Linked DNA regions of Caenorhabditis elegans. The protein of the gene in region 1 interacts with the protein of each later gene in a pairwise test. Each region holds a gene or a part of one and is shown in the gene's direction. Other genes may lie near its edges.

Region 1 (8,405 bases):
CCAATCCAAGTGTTGTGTGAAGTGTATGCAGATGAACTATGGAAGATGTATCTACAACATTTGGCTGATAACATCCGAGACGGCGCCGTTTTTGCGTATTCCACTACTTTTATTCTAACCATGGTAGGTTTTTCGATGTATATTTGAGAATTGGAAATTTTGAAAAAAATTAAAAAAAAAAAAAAAGGAAAAATTATATGAAAATTTTTCATAAGCTTGAGTTGTTGTGCAAATTCCTAAAGTATTTACAGTTCGTGCCCATGCTTTTTGTAGTTTGTAGTATTAACACCAAAAATTTCAGTTTAAACATCAATTTTGAAAATTTTGAATTTTAAAACAATTATTTTCAACATTTTCAAAACTGATTTTTCCTCTTCCACGTAGAAAATTAGTCTAAGCTCTTTTTTCGTGTAGTTTGTAGTCTGGGCTTTACTGGAACGATCTACATGCAATTTTTAGAATAACTTGAACGAAATAAGTGTAACGTTTTGTAGTTTGTAGTGCACAATTATTTTCAGACCCTTATTCAATATATCCATATATTCCAGGTACTCCCAGTGTGCGATAAAATCCTATACGGCGAGGAAGGCGAGCTCATTCGCCTGATTGATCAATTCCCCAGCCTGGCTCCGTACGCAGACCCATCTGATGAAGAGAAGAAGGATGATGAAGAAGTTGCTCATGTTTGATGTACTTTTTAAAATTCGAATTTTAAAAAATAATTGCACCCGCTTTCTGTGATATAGATTCTATTCTTGTCTGAAAATTTTTTTCTCCATTTTTTATATTTATTTTTAATTTCCCCGCTTCGCTTTTGTTCTATTCTCCAAAAAACCGAAAACATGAACATTTTTGTTTGAAAAAACAAAACACAGCGATGATGTGTCATGGCTTCCACATAAGCCACATCATCATTTACAGTATCAAAAAAAAATGAAACACGCGTGAAAAATGCCACAAAAAAACAGCTGACATCGAAAAAAAGAGACAAAAAATAATATACTTTCCACAACTCTCCTCCTCCGCAGAAGATTTTTGTGTGGAGCCCCCCCCCCCCCCCGACCAGCAATCTCTGATTCTCTAATAAACCCGGGGAGACGGGCTCTTCAGAGCATTACAACAATTGGTGAAGAAGCGTCGGTTAGCGAGAATGAGGTGTGTGTGTGTGTGTGTGTGTGTGTGCACTAGTGGAATAGGAAGAAGAAGAAGCACAAAAACATGAGCATTTTTTCGAAAAAGATATGTACGAGAGAACACATGGGTGTTCTCATTTGACGAGTATATTGAAATTTGGAAATTTTATTAAGGTACTACCGTAAATATATACACATGCATATGAATGAATATACATTAACAGAAAACCGGAAAAAGAAAAATGTACACTGTTTTCGATATTGCTAAAAACATCAAAAATCCCCATATCCGTTCAAAAACAATATTGTGTTATATTGTTTTACAGTAATGAAATTGGAGGCAAACTGTCCCCAACTACCGGATTTTGTAATGAGACGTCTTGAAAACTTCTCATTACGAAATTCGGTCTTTTTGGGGCATTTTAGTCTAATAGAGCAAAAATTGACTTATTTAAATATTAAATTATTAACCTGAATATATACTGAAATGGAACACCGACTTAAAATAAAAATTGATTATAAGGATTTTGTTTAAGTATTACCGTAAATATATTCAGTAACGGAAAATCGAAAAATGGAATGTGTACACTATTATAGTAAATTTTGATACCGTTAGATAACAATTGCATGTTCAAAAATTTGTATTGAAAAAATTACTAAACCTGACAAAAATTGAATATATACTATATTATACTGTATTAGAACTGTTATTGCTATATAGCCTCTAATGGGAAATGATTATTTGCTATGGTAAATATCCGGAAAATTTTAAGTTTTTTTTTAAAAAGCGTAGCTGAGTAGTAAAGCTTAATGAAATAATGCAGTAAATACGAAAAATGCTAAATTCAGACAGAAAACCACAGTCTTCAGGAAATTTCGGCTGACACTACTTATTTTCATTAACGTTCAATTTACGATAGCGTGCAAAAAGTAACAATATTTCCTCTAGCCTTATGTAGACTAGAAGTTATGGTAATCACGTTTGATATAAAATTGGGTTGAAGTACTTAATTTTGCGAACTTATCTGAAAATTGACTAATCCGTCAATGCATAATTATAGTAAATATGTCATTTTGAACATTAATTCGGATAGAATGAAATTTAGAAAAGAAGTGTCTTTTCTTTTCCGACACATCCAATACGAACAGATATTATATAACGAGGTCCCCCTAGTCATATTACATGCAAGACTAATCGATAGGAAATAGTGTAGCAAGTAGCTGGTACTATTCATGGATCTATTTTTCATCACCATTATATAATCGTAATACATACATACATGCATATATACATGATCACGAATCTTAGTTGACATTAAATTATCACGACTTATTTAGAAATACTGTCTATGATAAATAGTTTTAACAAGTATTCTCCTACAAAATCATTAAATATAACCCTAAATTCAAAATAAACCACTACTATTATACCTCTTCCACATAATCCACTGATATTATCAAACAAGTTGCCCTCTTGACAATAAACTCTCGAACGCCAACTGTTTCGAATGTTTTGTCGTCGGCTGGATGCCACAATTGCTTCTTTTCGGGGATAAGAAGAAGAGCATATACACACAAGTAGTATTGGATTCTAATGTCAGGATTTCAAAAACTGAGACTCTGATCATTGACCGACTTTTGGGAATCTGAGATAAAAAAAAAGAACAATAACAAAAAAAAGTTTAAGGGAAGTAAATGCGTTTCTATGGATAGTGGGTAGGGCTGTACAAATCGGCGTCCGGTCGTCCGATTTTGACACCACCGGACGCACATGCGTCCGGTTGGGGGTAGCTATCCACGACGGCCGACAACTTCCGAGTTTCGCCACTCACTATACTTAATCAGCAATTTTATAGTGAGTGGCGAAATTCGGAAATTGTCGGCCGTCGTGGATAGCTACCCCCAACCGGACGCATGTGCGTCCGGTTCGAACTTCGGACGACCGGACGTCCGGTTGTACAGCCCTAATAGTGGGTAAAGAGAAATGGAAAAATATGGGAATGTATGAAAATTGGAAAGATGAAATGTGGTACTTCTTATTGTAAAATTAGACACTAATCAAATTCCGGAGAACAAAGCTATGTAACATGGCACTGTAAAAACTGAGCTTGTCATATTTTTTAAAATTCAGTTTTGATTGTTCAGTTTTCTTTAAAAATTCATTCATGAATAGTTACAGTAATAGGATATCTTATATCACGTGTGCATTAGTGTTGCAACCCTTTCCATAAAGTTTCAAGGTTCTTAAAAAAAGGTTCAACTGGAAAAAAACCATACTTGTAGCATACTCTTTCGTAGTGTAATATTACTAGGGAAGCCCAGATTTATGATATCTGTTCATATTGGATGTATGGTGAAAGGCAATATGATTTCGTTATGTTAGGCTTGAAGGCTTGTTAATAGGCTTTAAAAAAGGCTACCAGTAATGTTAATGTTAAGGTTGAAGCCTTGTTAGGCCTCGAAAATGAGACACTTATTTTTTAATTTTAACTCCATTAATGTTCAAATTTAAGGATGTCCTTAAAAATGTAACTAATTTTAATGACACCATTACTTTAATAATTTATTAAAGTTTTAGTCAATCTTGAGTTAAATTTTCGAAAATTTTGCAGCAATTTGATTTTACATCACTTATGGTTATTATTACTAACAGTCTAGATATATAAGAAATATCGTTACTATTTGTACGATAACGTAATTAACAATCAAATTGATAATCGTTTCAATTTTTTAATGTAAAGAGGCTCAGAACGGCTTTTGCCACGTCATCAAGCGACCACGCGAATATCGGTCCTGGAACACCATACCACCTTACTAATTATGTGGTTTTTTTTTAAAGTTTTGTTCCTTTTTCCATTCCACGAGAAACCCTTCTTCTCCCCAATCATCATCTTTTCCATCTGCCATCGGCTCTTGCTCTTCTCCCCACAATTCCCGTTGCTCCGTGTGTGCTGTAATATGCTCCAGGGGGGTGGGTGGGCAGGGATCCCATAGGCATAGGTCTCCACGAAATCAATACTATCTAATCATCTGCCACACCCCCGTCTGATGTTGTGGAGGAAGTGAGAAGAGAGAAGAAGAAGAAGAAGAAGCGGGGGCTCGTGTGGGAGGAGTCTCGTGAAGACGGGAACCTGAAGCTAACGGGAGAAGAAGAATCATTCTCCCCTCCAATTTGAATCGTCGATACTCCGTGTGTTTCAACACAACAACAAACTACCAAAAATGGACGCCATTAAGAAGAAGATGCAGGCCATGAAGATCGAGAAGGTTTCCACACTTTTTTTAAATTTTAATACTGTTTTATAGTGAATTTCTTCAACTTTTTCAATTTTAAAATTAGTAGTGGTCATATACATTCCAATATTTTGAATTTTTCCTCAAAACCATATACACATATTCTAGGACAACGCTCTCGATCGTGCCGATGCCGCTGAAGAGAAAGTCCGTCAGATCACCGAGAAGCTCGAAAGAGTCGAGGAAGAGCTCAGAGACACCCAGAAGAAGATGACTCAGACCGGAGACGATTTGGACAAGGCTCAGGTATGGGTTTAAGCCAGAATTTAGGCTCTTTGCGTATATTTTATCGATTTTAAGACCCCATATAAACTGGCTTCCTAAATTTTCGCTTAGATCTTGGTTTGATAAGACTTTAAGCTATCAGATTTTTACCAGGAAGCTTAAAAATTCATGAAAATCGCAGGAGTTTCTAGAAGTTCCAAAATATTGTCTAGCTTCTACTTTGATACCATATATAATTAGCGTATTATTAATACCTACTTTCTCAACTTAAAGCCGCTATCCCGGAAGATTTTGGCCTGAAACTGAGCAAAGTTCTGAAAAGCAGAAGTTGAGCTCTAAATTTCCTAATTTTTTGGAATCAAGCTTTTACAATACCTTATATATAGCGAATTTTGATTACAGTCCGATTTCAGAAAACAAAATTTTTTAGAGACACTGGCGCTCAAGTAACCTATAAAATCTTAAAGTATAACTAAAAATCACCCTAAAAACAAAATTCGAAATTCATAGTGCAGGGTGCTCAATTTGTAACTTTTAGCCCTAAAAATTTAACCTGGAATCTAAAATTTACCTAGGACACCACTAGAAATCAAATTCGAAGCTCATGGTGCATCGTCCACCTAGGTCTACCTGTCTCCCTGGGCTTATGCTCCTAAGCTGAAACACTTAGGCTTAAGCTAAGCTAAAAGAATAAGCTCAAAATCAAACTTCCATTTTTCAGGAGGACCTCTCCGCCGCCACCTCCAAGCTCGAGGAGAAGGAGAAGACCGTTCAAGAGGTGAGTCGACTTTCTTTTTAAAGCCCAATCCGGGCAGCTTTTGGTTTCTAAACCGACTTCAGGTATTTCCAATTCCCAATCCACAAGCACAACGACCAGGTTTGTGGCGCGATGTTCAAAGTCAATTAATCCGTTAATTAGTCAGTGAGTAGTTGGAATGAAGAGAGAGAGATACATACATATATACAGCTAGTTTTCCATTCCTGTCCTTTTGGGCATGAAAATGAGTGAGAGAGGGTGACGTTGATGATGATCCGCGGTTTTTTTCTCTTTTCCACCCTCTTTCTCTCACTTCCCATAGGCTTCTTCCCCCACCGGGGTAGCTATTGTTTTGTGTGTGTGTGTGTGTCTTCTTTTTTCAATAATGTTCATATATATATATATATATTGTTTCTTCAAATGTTTGGTATACATTGTACTGTATTCAATCATGATTCACTTTTTTCATTCCGTCGAGAGTCAGAGATAGGGTACTGTAGAAATCCTTCTTTCCCGAAAAAGACTTGATCAGGGTGTGGCTGTTATCTAGTTAGCATGTTATATAACATTATGTAATGATGTTCAAACCAGATTGGCATCACTTTTAGCTCGGTTTTCCAGATTTCCCAATTTTGTAAGTTGTCATTATACTGTTTTATTGAAAACTGATTGTGAGCAAAAAGTGTTGTCAATTTATGTAATTCCCTTTAGTCATTGCTATACGTTCTTGAAAAAATTTTGTTGGCTTAAAACATTCTTAAGCTCCGGCCTTAGCCAAATTTTGCAAGGCTACTTTTCAATATTTCGGAAAATTCTAAGTGGTGCCATGTGATATTTAATTTTCTAGCTTAACAAGCTATTAGTTTTCAAGTACTGATCCTAAAAATTTAAAGCTTAGAGCAGTGGCATTTTTTTTGGAATTTCACTAGTCTGGCGGTAACTTTAAGCGAATGTGATCTATTAACACGTGGTGCCAGGTTGTCTCATTGAAGTTTGATCTACAAAAAATGTGGGAATTTTTAGTCAGCACATTCTTAGCCATGCGAAATCAGTTAAGAACTGTGCGTCTCTTCTCCCGCATTTATGTAGATCAAACCGAAGTGAGCCACTCTGACACCACGTGTAATATAATAATCCAGCAGAATTCAAATTCCTCGTGGTGATTTTTCATGCATTACTTTTCATAGTCTTCGAAAAAAATGCTCAATATTTCCAACTTCGGAGTATTTCAAGTGTATGTTAAGCCTATTTTGAATCCCACGCATCACCGAATTTATCTAGATTCCTAGAATATCTACAGTGCATTTTTTTCCACTTCTCCAACTTTAAAGGAGGGCGCATTTATACGAAATGGTCCCGCCACGCGGCCCAAAAATCAATGCGTGGCGGGACCATTTCGTGTAAGTGCGCCCTCCTTTAAAGCGGTAGAAGTGGAAAAATATCAGTGATTTTTAGGAAAAAAACCTTTTTTTGTCGAGAACTTTTTTCCCTCTCCCGACGTTTTTTTTGCACACAACTTGGCGCGCCGAAATCCAATTTCTTTGCGAAAAGCTCAATCCCATTTTCCGTTACTGCTCAAATGAGCGAGAGGCGAAGAAGAAGAAGAAGATAAAGTTCGAGGAGTGTATGAAGTGCTGTTGGGGGCTTCCTTCCCCTGCCTGCGCCATTGTCTAATCTCTAAGTCTCTCTAGCTTCTCTCTCTCTCTCAATTTCTTCTCTTCCAACTGATTACAACGAGATGTTTGCTTTACAACAACTCCTCCCCGCCAATAGGCTCCCGAGGGCTCACTGAGCATCAACGGGCGGCGCGGCGGGAAAGAGAGAGAGAGAGCATCTCCCCCGCAATTTCAAGAAACGAGGAGAGCTGTGTGATCGGCTTCTCGGCATTTTTCAAGGGGCAAGTGAATGGCATGTCAGTTGAAATGGAAATAAATGAGAATAAATGAAAGCGCACACACCAAAATAGAAACTACAGTAGTGCCTAATGGGTCTCGCCACGATTTTCGTAAAAATTCTAAAATTCCTAGGATTTTCTTCCGAGAACTAGGCAAATGCGCTGCATTTTCAAATTTTTTAAAGGAATTTGCAGGGTCTTAGGTACTAATTTCTAGGGGTTTTATTTGACATTTTCAGGCGCTTATTGCGGAATTTCTTACTTTTAGTGTCAGGCTGTCCCATTACTGTTTGATCTACAAAAAATGCGGGAAATTTAGAAAGAAATTACAATAGTACCGAGTAGGTCTCGCCACGGCAAGTAGACGCAAGTTTTGACTCTTTTTGTGTAAGGTTTTCGGTGGAAACTACTCTACAATTCCCAGGGTTTTCCCTCAGATTTTGGTTCTCAGATACAAATTTCTAGGGTAGGCCCTTAATGCGAAAATTCTTACTTTCGGTGTCAGGCTGTCCCAATACTGTTTGATCTACAAAAAATGCGGGATTTTTTGTGACATCAGCACGTTTTAACCATGCAAAATCAGTTGAGAAGTCTGCATCTAAATCCCCGCCATTTTTGTAGATCTAGGTAGATCACACCGAAATGGGACGTGCTTTTGAAGGGCAACTTTTGAGCGCCCAAAAGTTCAAAATTTTGGGGAATTTTCCCGCCTAGCTAACAATTTTTCCTGAATTTCCAAGTTTGTTCGGCCAGTGTTCCCAGTTTACAAAACTGGCATTGAACTGTCATTCAGCTCAAGACCACCTACCAATTAGAGACACCTTCGGTACATACACCCCAGTCAGCCGGTTTCCCGGTCTCCATCTCTACCACAATTTGAATAGAACATGTAATTCGGGTAAATACTCGACGTCTTTTCTTCCTCTCTCTCTCTCTCTCTCTCTCTCTCTCTCTCTCTCTCTCTCTCTCTCTCTCTCTCTCTCTCTCTCTCTCTCTCTCTCTCTCTCTCTCTCTCTCTCTCTCTCCAATTTCCTTCTTTTGTTGAAGAACACGTCAATGTACCGCCCTTCCGGTCAAAACACTCAACAGGAAAAGGAAAGGT
Region 2 (8,469 bases), on another chromosome or scaffold:
TTTGATAATGAAATTTTTGATAGTAAAAGCTAAAATTGGAGTAAAGTACTCAACAAAAAAAATCAATGATTTTTTCATTGTTTTTAAAGTATTATTCCAAGTTCCTCACACATTTCGTCAAATTCCTTTTGTTTTAATGTGCTGAGATTATTTATACATTGCCTGATGAATTTTTCATGCTAATTTGAAACGTTTGTTTTCTTTTAAATTCTGAGACAATTTCAATGCTTTAAATTACAAAACTTCAGCTCTATTGCTGCATTTTTGTATCAATATTAAAGGTGAAACAATATAGCTAAAATGTGAAGTCAAACAAGTATTCGTTGAACTTCAAAACATTATCCATGAATCCTGTGAGCTTTCGTAAAACGTTCGTTTGAACTTTCCTCAAAAATCTGCCTCCACTCGAAAAATCAGAGAAATCATGAGCCAACACAGTGGTGTCGAATTTCCGCAAAAGTTGTATTTTCTCGGTGGGTGGTCTTGGGTTTAGCATGGTGGTCGTACCTTCCATTCATTTTTGATTCATTAACAAAACACATACTTGGGCAAATAAAAAGGTGGCTAATTGAATAAGTTTTGAAGGGGGCCAGGGAAGAAGATGGGGTGCGTGATTGTGGAAATTAGAGCAAGCAACAAGGTAAACGTAGTTAATTAACACTGCGAATAGTTGTTGAGGACATGTCTGGCGGCGGCGGGGTACGCGTAAAACGAGAACGTGCTAACAATTTCAAAACAAGTGACCATTTTTCGAAAAGCATCCACTTGCAAACCCGGCTTTTGTATACTCGCTTCCCCATCCGCCGCGCTACAGTACAAAACGTTTTGGTGCGCGAAGTCAAGAAGTTGCTGGACACTGCGGTGGCTCTTTAAGTGGCTCAGACGGTTTCCGATGGGGTGTGCTCTGGGAGCCCAAGATGGTGAGGGGGAGAGCCTAGCGCTTGCCCAAACAAAGTCATATCCCCCCTCCTTCCAACCAACTCAAGTGTTGTTTCTGTGCTTTTGGAGATCGTTCGATAGTTGATGAGTCTCTTTTAGGTATTCAATCTTAGTTTGCTCTCAACTCTTTGCCCCTGCTTGTTGATACTTTTTACATTGTAATTAAGTGTCATTTGCAGTGATTGGGCCTGCTGCTTAGTTCTATTTCTGGATTGTGTAATTCTAAGTTTTTGATACAACTACTATGTATACTACTAGATTCCTAAAATTGCAAAAGGCTCTGTAAAATAATTGTAATGGTTTTTGCATTATTACGTACAACTGTTCTAAATTAATAAGTTATTTTTATAAGGTTTTGTGTTTGAAAACGTAAGGTACTTAGTGAAGTTTTATTAGTACAGGAAAAATAGTCAGAATTTTTTAATAAATTTTCTAGCTCGATCTACATAATTAGTATTCAAAACCTTGATTCGAAAATAATTGTCTCACTGTTAGTCAACAAATCATCACGGACTATTTGTCTTCAATTATCTTGTTCATATCCCTTCTTCTCGCCATAACCGGAAATGCCTCGAAACAAATACATGTGTCCCTTCACTCTTAATACACCCTATATTCCGGTCGTCCACGCACCTTTTTTTCCTCAGCAGTCCATCAAGTGTCCCTCCGTCCTTTTCTGTCATTTGCTGCACAATTCTATTCTTTCCAAAAACTCTTTTTGTAAGACCTGGGGTTATGTGTGCACTGTTATCAATACCATGCTCTTTTCCATGACCTTACGACCCCGCGCGCGCGCAATCGTTTTGTTTTGTCTATATGCGTGTTTTTTATTGACTGACTGACCACTACATATTTGCGGCATATTCAAAAAAAAGGTGTTTAGAGATAGACAATTAGGCGACGAGATGTATCATGCACACATACATTTTTATCTTCTCTAGCGTATTTTTGCGCCGTATTTTTTTTCTGATGCAAAGTCCCCAGATAATACCATAAGTAGAACGCGATCCGAGAAGCTAGCCACAGGGGTGATTTTTTTTCGTTGCTAATTTTTTTTTGCTTTTCAAAATTGTTGTTTTCCGTAAGTACAATTTTAGCATTTTTTTTAGGAACGACAAAAAATCGTCAGATCAATTTGTAATTTGAAATTTGAATCCAAATAATCTCTTGGTTTTAAAAATTTAGCATTTCAACAAATATCAACACAAAAACTAAGTTTAATTATTCAATGTTTATCAACTGAATTTTTATTAAATTGAAAAAAAAGTTGTTTTTAAAAGTTGTTTTTTAAAAATTTATTTCATCATGTTACCGTGAATTGAAAATTTGAACTTTTCAGTTATTTGAGAAGATTCCCTATTTTGAAAATGTTGGCAACATATTTTTGAGCGTAAAATGTTCACAATGAACTGTAATTTTTTGATTAATCAAAAATATATATCAGAATCAATTTTAAGGTTTGTGACCTCCAACATTTCCAAAAAACATAACTGATAGCATAACAAGTAAGTTCAAAAACTTTGCGTCTCTTGAGTATTATTGGGAGGTAGTTTGAAATTCCCCAACTATCTTTGAAACATTTGAGAATTTCACTTTTTAAAATTATGTAATTGATTCACTTGTTGGTATTTTTCCATGAAATTCCGACAGTTTGCCATTTCCAAATGCGCGGTCATTTGTCAACTGTGCTCCGCCTTGGCCTTCATTTCTACTCAATTTTCTCAGCAAAGTTTGTCCCGTCTAAACGGAACTACTAAACTTTTTTGCTTTTGCCGTTTTTATTTCGGAAATTTTTATTTGAATTTTCATCCAAATATTTTCTAAAAACGTATTTCGATATCGGTAACCCCAGCAAATCTCATTTTTCCGCATAACAGGACAAACACACTGTCCTTTTCGCTTCACTTTTTTGCTATCCCCTTCTTTTTTCCGTGTGCGTGCCGGGTGAAACTAGTCTCATCATTTGAAAATTGTCTGTATAATATCCGACCTACTACACATAAAATATATAGATGTTGGAGATGTTGACAGCCGGAAATTGTTTGGAACTAATTAGCTGCTGAGGGTTTTTTGCTGTAATTCAAGTGGACCCAGCACTTTTTGAGTATTTTGAATTTGTACTTACGCATAATTAAGCTTGTTCATTCTTATTTCTTTTAAATAAAAAAACTCCTGAAATCACAATAAAACAATATTGTCGCTTGTTATGGGATAAAACCCCATATTTCAGCTAATTTTATTAACACATACAAGTACATTAGGAACTAGATGATAATAAAAAAAAGTAGGAAATATTTTATCAGACGACAATTAAAAGTAAAATCAAAAGCATGAGCTGCCAAACTGAAACGAGCACAAAAAAAATGTCGAAATTGTACAAATACTCTCGAAAACCTTTTTTTTTAACTAAACGCTGAATTTCTATGTTTTCACTTTTTATAAACGTTTGAAAATTTTGTATATCTTCAATCACTCGGTCAACTGAAACTTTCCCTACTATTTCCAAATTACCGTCGAAATGCCACAGGGCAGCTAGCTGACCCCTGGCAACCACGAGATTCCCCCCCCCCCCCCCTTCATCTCTCTTGCCCGTGTTTCCTCTTCCGTTCTAATTACCTGCTTATTATCCGACAATACACCTGGCTCTCTAGGACCTTCTCTTTCTCTCTCGCGTCACTCCGGCAGCTAGCGTGTGCGGTACAGAAGAACAATCGTCAAGCGGCAAACTACCTTTTTTACCTCCAAACACAAAACAATTCGACTAGCTGCCGTCATTACTCCTATTTGGGATCTGCATTCAATGATCTACCACTCATGAAATATCAACATTTTCTCATATTTTGTACCCTGGTTACAAATGGTAAGTCTACTACTAAGATATGATGTCATTCGGTTTCACAGACTGATTGATCTGAGTGTGAAAAGTTTTGGTTTAGACTAGATGAGAGATAGAAATGTATAACACGAAGTTTAAGTGAACATCTCAAAAACTGAAAATCTAATTTAAATTCAAAATATGTTTGAGAAAGTTGATTTTGGGCTTTTAAGTGTTGAGCATTGTTGTATCTGAAAACTCTCAATTTTTGCAGCCCATCTCTTCTTTGATTTTGTAATCGTTTATATATTTTCAACTAAAATTGTAAACAAATAACTATTAACATATTTGTCGGTTAACAATTATTTCAGAAGCCCAGACCTTTTCAATAAAACACATGACTTCTTTCTCTGAAAATTAAATGAAGCTCGTATATTTCATACCAAAAAACAAAATAAATTTCTAAATTTTGTTTTCCAAAGATCAGTTCCAATCTAAAACTTGGACAAAACTACCAACTGACTTTTTGCAAAAAGTAATCCATCATTATCATTAAGACAGATGAATACCACAAGCTGTCACTAAAACTCTTTTCAGCACTATGTAACAGAGCGTGCAGTCGGAACACATGTCTTAACGGCGGAACTTGCACAGTGAACGATGAGACGCGAATGTTTCAGTGTGAATGTCCGAAGGGTTTCAGTGGGTTGCTATGTCAGGACAACTGCTCTTTGCACTGTCTCCACGGTAACTGCGTGAAAGGAACGTTTGGCGAAGAAACTTGCCAGTGCTCCGAAGGATGGATGGGCTCACTTTGTGATAATCTAGTTACTGATGATGACACTGCTCAAAAGTGCTCACCGCAATGTGGCGATGACGAAAGGTATACATGACCTTGTGCAAACCAAAAACATGTATGTTTTTTATAGATGCACAAAAGGAGCCGACGGATCATACATTTGCCAGAGCAACGAGCCGTCTTGCGCAACACACACTTGTCAGAATAACGGCACTTGTGTTGCCGAGAACGTGAGTGACTTGAGTCCAGAGTGATAAAAACCAATAGAATGTTCAGGGAAATGTAAAATGTGCCTGCCCACCTGGATTTGTTGGAGATCACTGTGAAACTGACGAGGACGAGTGCAAAGAAAATTTTTGTCAGAATGGAGCAGATTGTGAAAATTTGAAAGGAAGTTATGAATGCAAATGTTTAAAAGGATTTTCTGGTGAGTTTTGGTTTGAAAATTTGGATGGGAAGGATGAAATATAGTTTTCCAGTAGACATAATTGTGAAAAAAAAACCTGAAGTTTGAAAAACGTTTAGTTAGATTTTTTCAATAAGACTAGTGTGAATTTGATCAAAAATCATTTATAAGGTGCTAAATGACCAAATGTCATAAAAAATTTTCTAAACAATTCGGGGATTTTTTATCTCGAGTCAAAAATCGCATACATGTTTTTGCCACGTTTCGACAAATCTGAAGCATTGTCATGTTGATCCCTTTTGGCTCGAAATAAAATCATTTCTTCAGGTTGTTCAAAAAGTTTTATTATGATATTTGGACAAATACCCAGTTTTTTTGCAATACTTATAGTTTTCAACTTTCTTATTATTTTCTCAATTTTGTTAACGTTGCTGATTTGTTGAGAGTTTACATTCGAATAAATTATTTTATAAAAACAAAAGAAAACTAAGAAGAAACATGTTTTCACAATTTCTTCTAGGTAAATACTGTGAAATCCAAGACAAGAAACAATGCACTTCTGATTATTGTCACAACAATGGTCAATGCATTTCGACTGGCTCCGATCTCTCCTGCAAGTGCTCTCCCGGGTTTGATGGTGCATTCTGCGAGCTCAAAGCAGAGGTAACACCAATTTTCTCACTGTTAATTGCTTGTGTTTTTTCTCAGGTTAACGAGTGTATATGTGAAAACCCGGCTCATGTTTGTTCACTCGTAAACGGGACGTCAAGGACAACGCAATGCGAGTGTCCTTCGGGGTTTATGGTACGTTTGACGAATAATCTGGGCATGTTCGGATATGGGTCCCTCGCGCAATCTATCGTTTAATTGCAGGGTGCCGACTGTAAAGAGTTGCAAGCTCGTCCATGCGATCGTGAGCCGTGTCTTAATGGGGGTCACTGCGTCGACGACGGGCAGAATCTCTTCACCTGCTTTTGCCTTCCCTCTTTTACCGGCATCTATTGTGGAGAGCCTGTTGATTGTCTGGTTAATGGATCGGATTGTAAGAATGGGGGAAAGTGTGTGTTCGCGTTAGCCGCAACTACCTGCCAGTGTCCGGAAGGATTCAATGGGTCCAATTGTGAAATAAGTAATTCATATCGGTCACATCCAACATGCAGTGACATTCGATGTTTGAATGGTGGAAGCTGTAAACTCGACGCAGAAGGGGAACCGTTTTGTGTATGTGAAGAAGGGTTTGATGGACCGTTCTGTGAGCCAAAATCTGGATGCACAATTAATCCCTGTCAAAATGGAGGAACTTGCCAAGATGCAGGTAATAAGAAAAAGAATAGAGTTTTTTAGGGAGCTGTAAATTAATTTTTGTGCTGATACTGATACTCTTTAAAGTTTTACAATTTTTCAGATGGACAATACTTCTGTCATTGCACATCAGGCTTTGGTGGCGTCCACTGCGAAACGGTGGATGAGCCTTCAACCCCTATTCCCACATTAGGAACGTTTCCATCTTTTACAACTTCTGGAATCGACGGATTCTCTCAGAGTGTGAGTGTTTTAGTTTTTTATTCAAAATTCGTTCATAATAAATACTTGCAATATTAAAATTTTTCAGAAAATATCTTGCGAAGACTGCGTCAACTCATCCAATTGTCTTGACGTCGAATCTGGGCCAGTTTGCATTTGTGATGATGGATATTTTGGACAAAAATGTGATCAGAAACATGATGTAGGTTTTTTTTAAATGAAAAACAGTGTAGAAGAATGCTGAAGTTTTACGAAATTTAATTGTGTCTTTTGAATTCAAAAAACTAAAACTAAAATTATATTTTTAGTCTTTTCTATGTTTTGTAACATAAAGAAATTAGTCCCTGATTTTGTTCTACATTAAATTTGAGACAGTAAGTTCAAACAGTTTTCCAGAATTGTTGGTATTATATATGTACTTTAAGAAAATTTTAAAAAGTAAAAAATGTAGACAAATCATTCCATTCTTATTTTCAGAAATGCTCTAAAGTATCCTGTCCATCTGGTCAAACTTGTAGCCAAGTGAATGATAACGTGAATATCACTGCACAATGTGGATGTGAAATAGGCCACTTTGGACAACAGTGTGAAATGGTGACGTCAGCAACATTTTCGGCGAAAAGTTTGTATATTCATCAGAGCTCCAAATTCTCCCTTGGGTACTTTCTTTTTCTCTAACTATATATTTTATGAAAAAAGCATTTCAGAACTTCTTCATTCGAAAATATTGCCTATGAACTAGAGTTTTCGTTCCGCACAACTGTGGAAAATACCCATTTGGCGAGCAGCGAGAACATTCTCGGAGAGAAGATTTTGTCTATTCAACTTTTGTCGGGATACTTGGTGTTCAACATGACCGGAAATTCGTTGGAGCACCTGCTGCCAATGAGAGTTAGCGATGCTCAATGGTATACAGTGTTTGTAAAGGGAGAGGATAATGTAAGTTTAAATTTTTTTTAACTTGAGTATATATTTTTAATTTATTACAGAAAATCCAAATCGAAGTCTCCACTGAAAATGGGTTCAGTCTAGTTCAAAAGTCAGTCAACGGACAGCTTGAAGTGTTCCTCACCAGATTTGGAAAGGTATTAGCGTATGAAATACACTCTTTACTCAATAAACTGATTTACAGATCTCTGGAACTCATCACTTTATAGGATGCATGGCTGATGTTCGAGTGGACGGGGATCTCATAATTTTTGCAGATAACAAACGAGCAATTGATATTAGAAAAGGGTGCACTAGAAGTGAACAGTGCACCAGAGCATACTGTCAGAATGAAGGTTAATTTTTTCTGAATGATGAAGTTACAAAAATAAAGCTTCAGGAATTTGCATTGACCATTGGGAGAGCTCAAGTTGCAAATGTAAACCTCCATACCTGAAACCAAATTGTGTATATTTCCTCCCCAAAACGACCTTTGGACATTTGGACCAGCCCTCAATTGTGCATTTGAGGTAATTTGTCAATAATGTGGAATTTTTTTTTTGCAATTTGTGCTAATTGAGCAAAACCTAGAAATTTGGAATCCAAAGCACTAATACTAAATAAACACAATAATTGGACTATTTAGCACAAGCGAATCGGAAAACCACCTGCTCCGTAATCACATCGAGTTGAGCTTCTTAATGCATTCCGGCAAACCGGATGCCGTTCTGTTCTATATTGGCGAGAAGCACGCCGCAGATGTTCTGACTAATTATCTCGTCGTCAAGATTGCTGGCGGTCTTATTACAGGTGAGTCGAATCAATTGAACACCTGACGAGTTGGGGATTAATTTGCGAAAAGAAGTGGAAACATGTTGGTGTTGGAAAAGGTCTTGTGAATTCTGGAAAAATGAAAAAGCTATAACTAATAATTTTTTATGTATTCAAATGAAAGCGCATACGGAATTTTCATGAACAGCGATAAAAACTCATAAAGAACCCCACTTCCTCCTTCACAGTCCAGTAATATTCTGTGATTCAACAATTTCAATGAAATTT
Region 3 (8,179 bases), on another chromosome or scaffold:
CACTTCGAGAGCCAGTCTTTTCTCTCTTCAATCTTCTTCTTCGAGAAAGCCATGTCGACAGCGTTATCATCATCAGCTCCATTGTACTTGAAGCGGATACGATGACGAACCATGTCCAAGAAGTATTCCTTAGCTTCCTTAGAAGTCGATGTACCCAATCCCTTGTAGTACTTGATCTTGTACGACTTCCAGTTATCCGTATTCATTCTCCACTCAGAATATTCTGGGAGCGAATAGAAGGAAACTTCTTCTTTTCCTTTGGTGGCTTTGACAATTGGAGTGATGAATTCTTCTACGAAGTTCCGCTGAATGAGAGAAGGCCAGAAGTGATGGATGAAATTGATCACGAGTCCTTTGATGTGTGAACCGTCTTGATCCTGATCAGCCATGACCATCAGTTTACCGTATCGAAGAGTCTTGAAGTCATCTTCTGTCTCGTACTTCTTCTTGTATTGGAGTCCCAGAATTTTGATCATGGCATTGACCTCAGCATTATCGGCGATTTGTTTCATATTTCCTTCTCGGACATTTAGCAATTTTCCTCGAAGTGGGAATACTCCATATTTGTCGCGTCCAACGACTGAAAGTCCCGAAACAGCAAGCGTTTTGGCCGAGTCTCCCTCCGTCAGAATTAATGTGCATTGTTGGGAATTTTTGGTTCCAGCGTCGTTGGCATCTTCAAGCTTTGGAATGCCCTGAAATAAATATTAATTAAAACAAGGCCACGAATTAGATGAATTGTTACCTTCAGCTTGGAAGTCTTCGTCTTGGAGCACTTTTTGTTGAGGTCGTCCATTTGTTTGAAGCGAACCCAACTCATAACAGCATCGGTGATTCCAACACTTGAAGCCGCTTTGGAGAACTTCTCGCTGAGGACGCAGGTCGATCCGAACTGCTTCTGCTGCAGGGTCATAGTCTCTTTCGTCTGGGAGTCGAATGTCGGATTTTCGATCAAGCAATTCACAAAAACCCACATGTGATTTTTGATCTGAAAATTTTGATATAAAATTGAATATTTGGAAAATTTATTAGATTTGAATTCGCATTAGCAATTCCTCGCCTCAGATTCGCCTTTTAGTAATCACAAATCATCGGAAAGTTTAAAAATGTTGCGCCGCGCCTTTAGACACTGGATAAAAACTTTCTCCAGCGTCACTAAAGCGTCGCAATTTTATTTTTCACTTGGTGCACCGATACTTCAAAAGAATCGGTGAAATCTCTAGAAAAACCTTGAAAATTTTCAGATTTCTCTTATTATCGAGTCACCAAAGAGTTCATATAGCTATTTTGAGTCATCATTGGCGGTAAATATTTTAAATTCGACGAAATTTACCTGGAATGGCTTGATATTCATCGACGTCTTTGTGAGCTTCCGCTTGATCGAGTCGATGAACTTGGCGACCATCTGATCAGCCACGTAGTCCACGTGCCGTCCTCCTTTTGTGGTAGCAATACTGTTGACAAATGACACTTGTTGGAAGCCTTTTTCCGAAAGAGCCAAGGCGACTTGCCAACGATCTCCAACTTGCTCGTATGCGATCTTGAGGGGTTCTCCTTCATTGTTGAACTGCGAAGTGTACATTTGGACGTAGTCCTCGAATCCTTTGATTGGAATTCGTTTTCCATTGAGGAACACGGCGACTCCTTTACTGGATCCAGCCACATCATACGCACGCCGAGCCATCAAATGGCAGATGTCATCGTCCAGCTCCTTCATCTTGAACTTTGCCAGATCCGGCGAGAATGTGATCTTCGTGAAGTCTTCGTCGGTGCTCTTAACAATCTTCGGCTCCTCATCACGCGTCATGTTTTTGATCCACGTTTGCTTGAATGCACTTTTGTAATCCCGTGAAGACGTCTCCAGAGTGAATTTTGTGGAGAAGATGTTGCAAAGCTTTGCTCCATATCCGTTGCGTCCTCCCGTCACTTTCTTCTCATCGTCATTGTAGTTAGAAGATGTTAGAAGAGTTCCAAAAATCAGCTCTGGGACGTAGACTTTCTCCACTTTGTGCTGAGTGACTGGGATTCCTTTGCCATTGTTGTAGACAGAGATCTCATTTTTCTCCCTGAAAGAAAGCAAAATTAAATTAAATTCCTTTATGCTACGGTCTAAACTTACTTATTGATGGTGATCTTGATTGTGTTCATCTTCGGATCTCTCTGTTTGTTGTCAGCGGCATTCACAAGAATTTCATCATAAATCTTGTAGAGTCCCGGCACGTATGAGATGTCACGCTGCTCCAGCTTGCTCTCCTCCATGTTGTAGACCCACATCGGCGTCTTCTCGGTATGCTCGACCGAACCGATGTAGGTGTCCGGGCGAAGAAGAATGTGCTCGAGTTGGGACTTCTTTTGGTAGATATCCTCGATCGCCATTTGTTTCGAGCCACCACCTTTTTTGTCGATCGACGTGAACACATTGCGGTCCTCTTCAGTCATAACCATCGACTCGTTGGCTGAAAAGAAGCAAATTAGATTCAAGAAACTCTACAAATTAACCAACCATCATCTTTCTTTTTCTTCGGTGACGCCTTCTCCTTCTTTGGTGCGGTTTTCTTCTTGGGTGAATCTTCGATAGAGAATTCACTATCAGAGTCGCTCATTGTTAGAGATCTGGAAAAAGATGACATTTAATTTTAGGACGATCGGGAGAAAGAGAGAAAGAAACGCGGTGAATATTCAATAAACTTGAGGATGCGAAGAAAAATGAGTGAAGAGAAAAAGAACTAGCACACCAGTGGACATCACTGGACACTGAACACTGAATCGATGCAAGACAGCCGGCTAGAGAGCGCACAAAAAAACAACTGAGCGCGCCAAAATGAGCGTCCGATTCGAAATTGGCGGCCTAAGAGCGTCGGGTCTCGCAGCGAACGCGCGAAAAATACACAGCTGAAACGAGTGTTACCGTAGTTGTAGCCTCGAAATACGAAATTTAGTTTTTGTGTCTGCGTCTCTTACGGAAATGCATTGCGAGATAGAAGTTGTGTAATTTTTTTGCGAAAAAATTCAAAAAAAGTAACTTTTTGTTCTAAATAATGTTTTATTTATTTTAGAGAGCTCAAAATGTGGATTGAGATTCGTAAATTTTACGAACTCATCGTCTCCTTCACAGCTTTCGATGACGACCGAAAAATAAACGAGCTGTTCAACGAAATCGAGAAATACAGATGGCGATTGAGCAATATTCTTTTGAATCCGGTATGTTTTCCGACTGATGTTAGTGTAATAAACCTTTCTAATTGAAGAGACGAACGGGTAAAGATCGGGAAAAGCTGAAGCCAGGAAATGTGGAAATGGCAGGAGTGGAAGTTGCGCTAGACGAGGAAATCTGTTCGGAAGCACTCATTTTGTCGGATATCTTTCAATTAAATGAGCTGGAAGCTGTGGATTTGATTTTGGCCGGAGAAGCTCAAAAAATACATTTCGAAGGCCTCAACAGAGGATTAATCGCTGTCGTTTGCTACTATGATGCGCACAGGCTCCTAATCGCAACAATGCGCCAAATGCTAAAATGGGACCGAGAGGATATTCCTCAACGTATCAGCAAGTTCCTCAATAGCACATTCATCAACGAGGACGTGATCAAAAACCTTTTTCGTGGGTTTTCAAAAAATTATATTATCATAAATATTACTAATTTTTTTTTCCAATTTTCAGAACAACTAATCAATTTCACCGTTCAATCAGAATTTGCACGACTTCAATCTCCAGATGTCAACGGTTTAGGAGGCTCTAAACATCAGAAATTGGTACCGAATTGATTATAATTTTGGAATTCTTTCATAAAATTAATTTCAGGTCAGAAATGCCATTGAGGAGATTCGAAGTGAAGTAATTGGTTGCATTTCGATGATCTGTGAGATTCCGGGAGGAAACGCAGTTTCGATTTCAAATCATTTATTCCAAATTGTAAAGGCAGTTCCACCGGAGAAGCTCAGTTGTAGTAGCTTGACAGCCTGGATTTCTCTCGTTAAAATCACATCGAGTGAAGTGTTGTCTCAAGGTAATATTTGAAGATGGAGTAGCGATTTTTCTGTTTTTCTTTTGTGGTTTTTCTGTATTCGAGAATATTTTCGATTTTCTAAAGCAATTCTCGCTACTCCATCTTCATGCCTATACCCAAAAATCCAGTTACAAATCTGTTTGAGAGTTTACAGTTCACGATGCTCAACAAGTGCTCACAAACATGATCGCCCACATTCGGAATGAAACAGACTGGTCGGATCAAGCAATGTGCGGAACTCTACAGCTAGCATGCGCTGTTGCTCTGAAATCGATTGCCTCATCGCCATCAGATCATCTAGGGATCGAGAATATCAAGGTGGACGTGGAAAGAGTCATCGATCGATCTATCCGGAATATGGCTTTTCATTACTTGCGACAAGCGATCATCAAGTCGGAACACTTCCGTTATGCCCATCAGTTTATGATTATTGATGAGCTTCTGAAACAGCTGATTTCATATTTCCCCGCGAAGCTTATGGAGACTGAAAGAAATTCTACAGACGAGCTGAACTTCCTGGATGATCAGAAAAAGGAACAATCAACGACTCAAAAACCGGATCCGAAAAGCCAAACAGTCCACATAACGGACAAAGTTACAGCTCAACTGAGCTCTACAGATCCATCGAACAACTATGATTCGGCTCTATCACAATATGAGAACTTCCTTCGATGCTTTGTGGATTTATACGAGATGCAAGTGACCGACTATGCACATCAGAAGAATGCGAGAACAGCACGCGAACGAGAGCTTCAGGAGCAAATCGAAGAGAACAGCATGGCTTTTAGTACGGAGAGATCGATTGAGCTCTGCCGGCTCCTGGAACGTGCTCGTCTTCCAAACCATCATGTTGTTCATTCAGTTGCTTATCTGGAAATGTGCGCTGCTGTATGCAAAAATGAGAACACAGCTGCTCTACTTTATGACATCTTCTCCAAAGAACATTGTGGACCAGATTCATATGGATGGGAATCTCTGGCTTCAGCACTCAAAGGCTACGATCGTTTGTACCGGGAGCAGAAGTATGCGTCGAATTCTCGTCACAATCAAAGTCAGACAATGAGTATGAGCACCAGCTTCCACCAACAACAAAGCCTCAATCTCACACTTCGTCCAGGCGACAAAATCACCATCCCAGCTCAAGAGCTCAGCGGACTAGTAGCCTGGATCCATATGGCTACAAAAGTTGCTCAATTGAATGAACGAGCCGCTATGCGATTCTCGGATGATCCTTCATGGACGTTGTGTTCTGTTGTCGCATCGCTCTCCACTTCTCCAGTACCGCTATCTATGAAAGCATCGATGCTTGATTTGCTGACGGCAGTGGCACGGCTCAAAGGATCCGCACCGAGAATTTGGCAAGCAATTCATCTGAATCAATTGTGCTATTCTTCGGATGGTGGAACACTAATGGGAATCCAGCAGGAGCTCGAGGAACGAGAATGTGTCGCGAAGCAATATGATGTGTCGTTAGCTTTTGTGAAATTGATGACGACCCTTCTGATGCACAGATCTCTACCGGAATACGCTACACCATTCATCCAATTCGTCACCAGAAGTATTTTGGCACATTTCTCCACACGCAGCTATAATAGCGTTGTTCAAATGTGGGAGCTCGCCGAGTGGTCGCTCCGAGCCACCAACGCACTTCTCGAGCACGGAATCGTCGAGCCGAGAGCCGTGGCATCGAACGAAGTTCATATTGCCATTTTGACGCAGTGCCTCAATGATACGCCGATGTACAGAGCTGTAAGTCACAGAATTTATTGAATTTTATTTAAAAAAAAAAATCGAATTTCAGATCACGCGGGTTATTATGGAGGATTGTCAAGCTCACAATGATCCGTACGTCACACGGCAGTCTCCATCATCCGATGCAGCTTTGATTGCACTGCGAATTTTATCACGTGAGTTTCAGGCCTCAAATATATCGAATTTCATGATGGAACTTTAAAAAAATGGCTCGAAATTTTTTTATTGCGATTCAAAATGTTGAAAAATGGCGTAATTTCAGCTAAAATCCACAATTTTGATACTTATTTTTATTCAATGAGTGTTCTATTTTGCTTATTTTTGCCGTTTATCTTACACTTTCTCGTTGATTTGAAGCTTTAAATCAACTAAAAGCGTGAGTAAAACGCATCAAGTGCGTAAAAATAAGACAATAATCGAGTAAATGTCTGTTTTCGATTCCTGCAGCACGGAAAATAAGTCAAAACTGAAGATTTTAGCTAGAATTATCGAATGTTTCCCTAAATTTTGGCATTTTTAGCCTGTACACCGTCTTCAAATGCTGTAACATTACATGTAATAATATTCAGGCCTAATTATTTTTTTTCCAGGAGCAATAATTCTGCATCCGGCTCTTCGTGCGTGTGCCCGTGTCTCATCCAGTGATATTATGATCGCTTCCATTCCATCCCTCGTCTTCTCACCAATCATCTCAGCCTCCGCTTGCACACCTCTTGATCTCGTCTTCCATTACCTTCATATGACTGATGACTACCCGGTACACTCTCTCTACGCTGCCAGAATTCTTCGAGACGTGATGGCTACACGTGGAGCTGCCGAGGTGAAGATGCTCGAGTTGTTAAGATCCAGAAACTCGGCTGCATCTCATGTTCGGGCGGTTCGAGCGGCGATCTGCGCTACGTCGATTCAGTATACGATTGATGATTCATTGGCGAAAGGTTTGAAATTTTAAATAATATATATAAATAATCTTGAATTTTAAATTATTATCTATATTTCAGAAGAAGACACAGATAATCCACATTTCGCGAGAGGAGAAACCGCTCGAATTCTCATCGAAACTCTTTCGGACGCCATCGATTGCCAAGTAACAAGAACCGGAAATCGTCTGACTGATACCAACAATATTTGCTACTACCTTCTCGCATTCCGACCATCAAAAGCCCATACCAAGGAGCTGTATCAAGCGGACGACGTGCTCACCGGTCTTCACTATGTTCTGTATATTATCGAGCAATTTGTGATGTCGAAGAAACCATTCGATTTACCTTTCTCAGCGCTACTAGAGCCTGCATTCCGGCTGATGGTCTGTTTCTAAATGTATTCAATAAAAAATTATAAAATTATTTCAGCAAAGACTTGTCTCGATCACGTGCCCATTCTCTAAACCAGTGCTCTGCTTCATGCGATCTTCAAATATTATCGAGAAATTGACAACATCTCCATTCATCTGTTCGGCTCTCACTCTGGAAAGTGCCCGCGACAATACATATGCTCAAGGTGTATTCGCTGTTCGTCGTATGATTGTTGGTTACATTCTTCACTTCGCCGCCGTCGAAATTTCGGCAATGCTCACTACTGGCCACTTTTCTCGACCTGAGAAGCTTTATCGTGCACTCTTGGAATCATCATCTCTTGTTGCTGAATATACTCAAATGGAAGAAGACGACGATGATGAAGATATGGCTCCAGTAGCTTCCGGAAGCAATGACAAGGCGAATTTGCTATTCTCGTTGATCCGACGAGCCACAGTGCCACGAAAGAACGAGTTACTTTACCCGAATCTCGTGCATTTCGATGTGGCAAAACTTCACGAACTCTTTGACGCATGCCTTACAGTGAACATCTACGGCGTTGCACAATATGACGTTCTCTACTTGAACCGACTATTACGACGAGAGATTGAGACAGTCTATACGGAATCAGGCGAGATGAAATATGTACAAAAAGAGATGGAAGGAGTCCTTGAATATTGTGCTGAAATTAACGCAAGTCTCTTATCGGAAAGCGCCAGTGAGCGAATTGTGTCTGGATGTACTGCGCTACTCAACGTCTTCTCCGTTTTCGCCCCCGTCAACTTTTTCTCCAACAAAATGCAGTAAGCATTACAAATATTATTTTTTCTTAATTTCTGAACCTCACGAGCCATAAATTTTCAGAATTGTCATATTCCGCGATGCCTGCTATGTGCTTATCGAAATGGCATCAGGAGTTGGAGGAAGCTCCTTGGTGACAGCCTGTCAGACGTTCCACCGACTCGTACTGACACTCACCAAGTTGGCTCAAGTTGAATATCCTCGAGTAAGTTTAGAATTTGTGTGTGAATAATTTTTATTGAAAAATTCAAATTTTGAGAATTTAAGCTTTTTGGTAGTGGTCGCCTGCTCCACCTGATCCTCCGCGTCCTCCGGTTCCACCGTG
Region 4 (7,563 bases), on another chromosome or scaffold:
GGTTCAAAGTTAAAAAAAAACGGATGAATTCACATGAAATGCTTCTCCACATTTCAAACTTCATCCCGACAAGCAGCACACTGTTTGGATGCGCTGTGCCTATTCCATATCTGTGTCATGTTTGTTTTACAAGGATGTATTTAGGAAAAATGAGACCAGCTTATTTAGACGTGTGTTTGGGGGTGACGAACGGTTTTTTCGAAACTTTCCATCGTCATCATCTCCATCAATACACATTTAAAATGTATCTATTGGAAAATCTCTAGAAAATCATAGTTTGTTTGCCCAAGTCAGACTTTTCTTAAGCTGCATGCGAAAAAGAGGCTGAATCATGGAGCATACATAAGGAGCACATAATGGAATGATTTTTGAACAATCCATACTTGTAAAATTGTATTTATCACTTACTTCACATTATATTAGAAGACGGTTTTAAAGAATTCTAATACACATATAATCTACACTACGAAATGAAATGGATTTATTTCTGAACTCTCATTTCACGTTCTGTGTGCGTAATAAGTTCAAAAGTTTAAAGCCGAATAGTTTAACAATGAGTTAACTGAAAAAAAAACCTGAGAAATGTTTAAATTATTTACGAACTCCGTCTGAGAAAGGAAATGAGAAACAAGCGGAAGACGAAGGCGTTGAAAATGACGGAGGCGGTTCAAAATCTTCGCTTCAAATTTCAAAAAATGGATGAGAAATCGGAGAGCCCTGGTGAAGGAATGAAAATGATATTTCTAGAGCAGAAAGTCATTCCAACATGATGTTCAAAACAAAATGAACTGAACTTAAAAGAAGTCGGTCACATGGCTCTGATAGATTTTTGCGCACTGATTCGCAAACACAATTATGAGGGCACGCAGTTGCACTTTTTTTTTTTTTTGAAGCAACTTTTTAAACCATTGCAACAAGAAGATAGGTGCACCTTTCTGAAACTCCAAAACAATTACACTAAGGTATTGAGAAGTATTCAAAAATCTTTAAAAATTTGTTTGAAATACGAAAAAAATCCAAGTTTGAGTTCGCCGAAATACTGTGCATGAGACATACATATGCCAGAAAAACAACTAGAATGTTTTGTAACAACTGAACTGTATCAAAAAGGTTGTATGAAACCCCCTAATTTATTTGGAAAAGACAATTCCTAAGAATTTCTCCATTTAATAAATTGTTATATTTCACTTGTAGAGTTTGAATAGTTCTACCTTATTATGCATTTGATTATTTTTCAGAATATCAATTTCCAATTGTATCTTAAAATTTCTCGGTTTTTTCAGCATTGACGCAGATGATTTTGATCAGTTTTTTACGATAAATTTGCATTTAATATACATATTTTTGTTGTTAACTTGTGAAAAATTATTCAAATATGCACTGAAAAAATGGGCATCCTAGTTTTTTTCAAGTGCATTTTCTGTAGAATTACAGAATTTAGTTTTGCTTGCAAACAATCTCATCAATTTTTATGATGTATTTCCCAGGATGGTATTCAGTAGGTTTGACACGCTTATTTCTTGTAAAAAATTCCGGAAATTTTTTTTGGAAAGTTCAGAGAAACTGAAAACGTTTATTGTCTACTAACTCATAAGCTGTTTCATTGGTTGTTCTATGTATATACAGTATCTTTTGAATTCATCGAGTTAAAAAAAAACACTTTACTTTTCAGATCTCAAGTTGAAAATCCTTTTGTATATACGAACACCTTTTCATAGCTTCTTTGTCAGTTATTCAAGTATGATTCTACGTCATAGCATAACAAAAAGATGCGTTCTCACATAGAAAATGAAACACAAAAGACAACATATTATCAAACAACTTTTCTGAAAAGAAAATATATAAACTTTGATTGAAAGGTGACAAGAAGAAGAGTTAATACTGTCAGCGCTACACGGCTAAAGTTCATTGCCGTTACGTATTTGCATATGTCAAATACACTCCTTCACGCTGTTTCTTCATATCTTCTTTTCTTTTCCAGCATTTATTTTTCATTTTCCCAACGGCCGCAGATTTCAATCGGATGCCGTTCGAGCAAGTAGTTCCGTTGATTACATTTTCAGTATGTATTTTTAACATTTTCACACGTTTCGAAGAACATTTGGATAATAACACATCATATCCAAGTTTAAAAATACCAGAGAAAGTAGAAACCTCTACTAAATTAAACAGGATGTTTCAACAAAAGCAAGAAATAAAAATGATGAGAATGTAAATAGTATCTTAAATAAACAAACGCTCTGCATTGATTTGATGCTAGAATGAGTCAGATGTTTTTTGAAAAGTACTAATCACTTGTTTTTTTCAATCAACTGTTGTTTGTAAACTTTCAGATCTTATAAAATATTTGCAATACTACTTCAATTGTTCAAATTAAGTTTTTTGAGGATATGTTCCAAGAAACTGTTTCTCTGTTTACTTTCATTCCTACTCATTTTTAGTTAGCAATTTGAGAACTTTGTATTAATGGAAACCCAAATCGAACAGATCTACTACATATGATATTTTCGTAATTTGAATTAGCAAAACTCTTTCAGTAGGGATTTATGGAAATTGGAACGTTCGAGAGAAACCAAGCTATGCTAAACCTTTAATTTTTGCCAAGTTGCTTCTATTGCTTATTTTTATAATTTTTTAAAATAATTTGGTCCAGTTTTCAGCGTTTTTTTGATAACTACAGAAATTTTCACTGTGAAATTCAATTTTTTGGTTTTATTTCAAGTCCATCAAAACAAACAAATCCACAATTAGTGTCGTGAACCCGTCGTGAACCCGTGTCGTGAGCATTCTCGATGTTCCAAGTTTCATACGTTTTTTGCAACATGCTGAAATAGACAACATTCTTCTTTTGTATTATAGATTGACATTGGTAGTCTTCAAACTCAAAAAAACCTAAAGGTGGAGTAGCGCTAGTAGGGAAAGAGTGAAAAACTATTCCTATGGTTCCAAAATGACCGAATAGCATAATAAAATGTTTCAAAATTTTTTTGAAAACTTTTTTTTTGTTTACTGTCAAAATGTGAAAATTACTCAGTTTTTGCAACTAATTTCGGAAGTCGACCAAAAAAAGTTTGTTCCTACATTTTTTATCATACTGTAACTTTGTTTTAACTATTTGTAATAGAATATTGTAGTAGTCGGAACATTCGACATAGTTATGGATTTCCTCAAAACTCACATTTTTTTCAAAATTTTGACAACTTGCCAAAACTTTGACCGGAAACTAGAAAACATCTAAAATTTGTTGGAGTTTTTTCTTATGATATTCGGTTGTTTTAGATCATTATAAGTGCATTTAGACGAAATCCCCACTGGTGCTACTCCACCTTTAAAGGTTCGGTTATTTCACATACCTGATACACTTTGAAAAATGTCAAGTCATAAATTCCGTTTATCATTATTGTTTTGGTTATTTAAAACATCAAATAACCTTCTAGTAAATATTATTGTTCAGGCATGTATGATAAAAATCTTGAACAATTTGCTAACGATCTGATTGGAAAATTAATTAGCTTTGATTTTCCAATCTTTACCAAAAAAAAACCAACAATTTAAAGTTATTATTATTTCCACGAAATAAAAATGTTTTCGAATTTTTTATATTTCCAGACGTAAAAAGAAAGTTAGCTGAAACCACCTGTTTCTTGCCAATAAATCAGTTTTTTTTTTAAATATTCACAAAAAAATCATTTGAAAGTTTGAAGCTTGTTTCAAAACATTTTGAGTGAAGCTTACTAAACAAAAGTTTTTGAAAAATGAAAACACGTCACTTTTGTGTTCGCATATACGTGATTCACCGTAAACTCCACTTTTGTAAAACTACGAAAGATACTGGCTGAAATGATAGGAAAATTCGTCGAAATATTTGAGCATCTGACTGTAAGTTGATAACGATTATACGAACTAATCACCGTTTCCATCTGCTCAAAACTCGCTGACTCACAAAGAATTTTAACAGAAATTAAGAAATGGCTCTATGTCAACTTTCAAAATTCTACAACGCCCAACTTGAGTTTCTTATCAACACTTTATTTTTTGGTCTATCTCTTGACTGAATCATACCGAAAACGGTTACATGACGTGTCGAGGAGTTCTACTGATACGAGCAAGCAAACGCTTTATTTCTCTCCACCTCTTTACTTTAAAACTAGCCTAACTCTTGTATATAACACACATTTTTCATATTTTCTATCAAGTTCACGCCGTCCCATCGACATTTAAGGTAAATATTTGAGTGTTCAATCTTATCTATGAAGCATTTTTTTCATTCCAGTTTGTGTGACATAGCACGTTGCCATTCCTTATTTCTTGAAAACTAGTTCGGGTTGTGAAATTTTCTTCCAAAATTGGTCCTTTAGTAATGTAACTTGATACATCAGGTTTTGTGAAAATATTTTGAATGCTTCAAACGACGTTTGTTGTTTTATTTTTCACTCTCCGAGTATCTAAAATCTATTCAAAAATTAAAAAAATCCGTTTTGACTTTTTGCATCTAGTTTTATCACTTCTTCCTGTGTCCCTCCCAAACTTTTACAGCCCAGTTGGCAATGGCGATAAGAAAAACACTGTTTCTGCCCACTTTGAGCATTTATTTCATCATTTTCATATTTTGGTTAAGATGTATAGTTGTCAAATGTGCAGGCTATTTTAGTATTTTGTGCTGTCGTCATTCTTACATTGAAGTGCATTCTCATTCCGTAACTAGGTGGTTGCATAGATGCCACCATGTGTTTGTCTGTCGTCAATAGAAATTTCCATATTTAGGAGAAATTGTTTTCATACTTTTTTAATACTTTTTGTCCGTCAATCTTCTGAAAAAAATATTAAAATTAAAACCATATGTTTCAGGTTCACAATGTGTCTTTCCGGACTCACCCAAATTCTCTATGGACTTATTATGGCTGGTAGTGCTATTTTAACAGCAGTTGCTTTGTTTACGCCAAGTATGTTTCATCTTTGGAGATGTTAGAAAAAGTGAATTTTCAAACTCTCAGGTTGGAATACTGTTGAAAATAATGTGAAAGATATAACTCATATCAACACATCTGAATGGAATGGCTTGATGCCTTGGTCATGTATTGGTCACTCTCAGGGAACCCAGTGTCAGGATTGGTGGGCGGTATGTTGATGAAATTATTTATATGCTCAAAAATACTGTTTTCAGAATCTTCCAGGATGGATGAAATGTGTCGTCGTCTGCATGATCCTCTCTTTGATTGTCCAAATTTTTGCAGTTGTCTACAACTTTTTGACATGGTTAGATTAGCGAAAGCCGACATTAATATAATTCAAACAACTTTCAGCCTTGCCTGCTGCTGCAAGAAATATATCATCCATCCACTCACCCTCTTTGCAGTCATCTCTACTATTCTTCTGCTCATCGCTGTTATTGTTTATGCAGCTGAATGGAATCAATTTACAAATGGAATTAATACAAACTCGCAGGTGAGAATGCTATTCTTAATGTGGGAAAAAGTGTAAAATTATTTGATTGAAACTATTAAACTTCACTAAAACTCTTTTTTTACACATGTTCTAACCCTTTAAAACCCGATTATAAAGCTTTGAGAAACCCTCCCTATCTCACATTGAACAACTTTTTGGCCAATCTGCACATACCCTAAGGCGCAAAAGCTGCTCATAAACCTTTGTTTGTACAAACTCACAACTTAATTTTTCAGCTTGGATACTCGTTTTGGCTTGCAGTTGGAGCCCTCATCTTATCTGCGGCGGATGTCATTTTGGGAGCACTAACAGTGTGTCTTGGGGAACACTGCTGTTAATTAAACTTGATTATATTTATTATTTCCCTGCATTTTCTGTGATATAAACTGCTCAGCCCAGACGTCGGCACCAATCTATTTGTTAAAGCTTTGTAAGATTTTGAACTTGGTTTTTCGCATTTAACGCCGAACTACACTGAAAAAGTGCAAACAAGACTGGCAAGATGGGGACGGCAAAAAATGTAACGGTTTTGTGTTTGTAAAAGGTCTTTTGAACTGTGGTAAGACATGTGAATATGTCTGTTCTTAGTGACACACTGACGTGTCACGAAGATCAGGAGCAATTTTTGTCGATTTTTTTCGACTTGTTGCTCCCAAGTTTGCGGCGTGGGAGGCATCACTACTGAGGCTCGGTCAAAGAACATAGTCAATTATTTCACAGTTTCTTAAGAATTTGAAAAACGCGCGCAGCGAGAAAGATCATTAGTTGAACTCGGAACATAATATGTTAGATGAAATGTAACAATGCCAAGTGTTTGAGCAAAAATTGAAAGATGTATTGTGCAACAAAGGTTGAAAAAGTGAGTCATTGTAAACATTTTGATAGAAGTAAAGATTGGTGAAAATCTTTAGATAGTGACATGAATTCTAAAAAGTTGTTTTTTCTGTGAAAGCAACTGACTGACAATTCAATATATGACTATATACAATATACATATTCCGCTTATTAAAAATGTGTTTTTATTTTATTTTGCACTATTTTTTTAAAATAAACATATTTAAAAATTTGTGTCAAATTAATAGTTTTTATTACAATCACTGAATTCACTTTTTCATGAACAAGACTTTAATTGATACATTAAGAGTTCAACGAAAAATAATTATGAAAACATGAAACAGCTTCTGCAAAAATATATATAATTAAATTCAGATAATAATTTACTAAATTTTTAAAAACCGATTTTTGAGTGGTTGCGGTTCTAAGAAAAATTTACTGAAGTGGACCTGCAAGATGACTGGCACCCAGATTTTTTTGTAGAGAAATTGCTACAAATAATCTAGACATACATAGGTATTTCTCCTGGAGAAATCCTAAGTTTTTGAGTTATATACATTGGAAAGTTAAAAAAACTGGAAAATCAAAAGTGAATAGAATATTGGCCAGTACTGTATATTATAGGTTATTGCGATCTAGATATGAATTTGAAGGCGGATGGGTTAAAGATGAACAAGCGCCAGTTTGGATTTTGTTAGAAAACGTTTCAAAGATCGGAAGTATCTTTTTTAAAATCTCCTTCGGAGATGATGGCCCCTCGAGGATGAGGGCCCCTCGGGGATGGGTGTCCCACGGATGAGAGGCTCATCAGCGACGGCAGCCTCTCAGGGATGGGGTTCCTCGGGGTTGGGGGCCCCTCGGGGATCGGCTCCTCTCGGATAAGGACCTCTCGGGGATGAAGACCAGTCTGGGATGCGGGCCTTTTGGGGATGCGGGCCCCTAGGGAATGGGGGTCCCTCGGGGATGGGGACCCTCGGGGATAAGGGCTTCTCAGGGAGAGGGCAATTCCCCGGAGAATCATTCTGAAAAAAAAATCATTTAAAGTCAGATATCAATTATTAAATTTATGAAAAATAAGTAAATATGACAATTGATAATAGGTTATATTACATCTAAAAAAGTGCTGTCACACATATGTCTTAAAATTCAGATTTTCTAATTAAACTCAATACTTCGGGAACCTAATAAATTTTTGTATTTAAATACAGAACAGCAAAAAATCTCCAACAATTCCACATAAAGCATTCGGAGAAACGTTTCATTCGTTTATTTATAAATCATAAA

The links.
Region 2: the proteins of lev-11 (region 1) and crb-1 interact in a two-hybrid assay, tested with the Caenorhabditis elegans proteins (one large-scale study listed by BioGRID).
Region 3: the proteins of lev-11 (region 1) and npp-3 interact in a two-hybrid assay, tested with the Caenorhabditis elegans proteins (one large-scale study listed by BioGRID).
Region 4: the proteins of lev-11 (region 1) and clc-1 interact in a two-hybrid assay, tested with the Caenorhabditis elegans proteins (one large-scale study listed by BioGRID).

The regions. Positions count from the first base shown.
Region 1 is NC_003279.8:14,626,910-14,635,314, reverse strand, and holds the start of lev-11 (Tropomyosin isoforms a/b/d/f), read left to right. Parts: upstream 1-4,220; 5' UTR 4,221-4,355; coding exon 4,356-4,400; intron 4,401-4,535; coding exon 4,536-4,673; intron 4,674-5,373; coding exon 5,374-5,430; intron 5,431-8,262; exon of another isoform or gene 8,263-8,335; intron 8,336-8,405. Other genes in the region: exoc-8 (Exocyst component Exo84 C-terminal domain-containing protein), read left to right, coding at 1-123, 549-689. UniProt on the Caenorhabditis elegans protein: Tropomyosin, in association with the troponin complex, plays a central role in the calcium dependent regulation of muscle contraction. Involved in muscle actin filament organization and muscle arm extension and morphology.
Region 2 is NC_003284.9:17,409,134-17,417,602, reverse strand, and holds the start of crb-1 (uncharacterized protein), read left to right. Parts: upstream 1-3,588; 5' UTR 3,589-3,753; coding exon 3,754-3,799; exon of another isoform or gene 3,800-3,911; intron 3,912-4,351; coding exon 4,352-4,637; intron 4,638-4,683; coding exon 4,684-4,783; intron 4,784-4,829; coding exon 4,830-4,980; intron 4,981-5,479; coding exon 5,480-5,622; intron 5,623-5,667; coding exon 5,668-5,763; intron 5,764-5,832; coding exon 5,833-6,274; intron 6,275-6,364; coding exon 6,365-6,504; intron 6,505-6,571; coding exon 6,572-6,685; intron 6,686-6,960; coding exon 6,961-7,142; intron 7,143-7,190; coding exon 7,191-7,422; intron 7,423-7,472; coding exon 7,473-7,568; intron 7,569-7,615; coding exon 7,616-7,766; intron 7,767-7,810; coding exon 7,811-7,940; intron 7,941-8,056; coding exon 8,057-8,220; intron 8,221-8,469.
Region 3 is NC_003280.10:11,869,581-11,877,759, reverse strand, and holds the start of npp-3 (Nuclear Pore complex Protein), read left to right. Parts: upstream 1-2,971; 5' UTR 2,972-3,066; coding exon 3,067-3,201; intron 3,202-3,248; coding exon 3,249-3,600; intron 3,601-3,660; coding exon 3,661-3,752; intron 3,753-3,801; coding exon 3,802-4,006; intron 4,007-4,160; coding exon 4,161-5,755; intron 5,756-5,807; coding exon 5,808-5,913; intron 5,914-6,348; coding exon 6,349-6,696; intron 6,697-6,759; coding exon 6,760-7,064; intron 7,065-7,110; coding exon 7,111-7,856; intron 7,857-7,917; coding exon 7,918-8,059; intron 8,060-8,077; exon of another isoform or gene 8,078-8,116; coding exon of another isoform or gene 8,117-8,179. Other genes in the region: DNA topoisomerase 2 top-2, read right to left, coding at 1-695, 746-988, 1,334-2,066, 2,120-2,456, 2,504-2,603; col-84 (Nematode cuticle collagen N-terminal domain-containing protein), read right to left, coding at 8,117-8,179.
Region 4 is NC_003284.9:11,043,388-11,050,950, forward strand, and holds clc-1 (Claudin), read left to right. Parts: upstream 1-4,058; 5' UTR 4,059-4,222; intron 4,223-4,848; 5' UTR 4,849-4,855; coding exon 4,856-4,943; intron 4,944-4,994; coding exon 4,995-5,119; intron 5,120-5,164; coding exon 5,165-5,256; intron 5,257-5,303; coding exon 5,304-5,445; intron 5,446-5,681; coding exon 5,682-5,783; 3' UTR 5,784-5,888; downstream 5,889-7,563.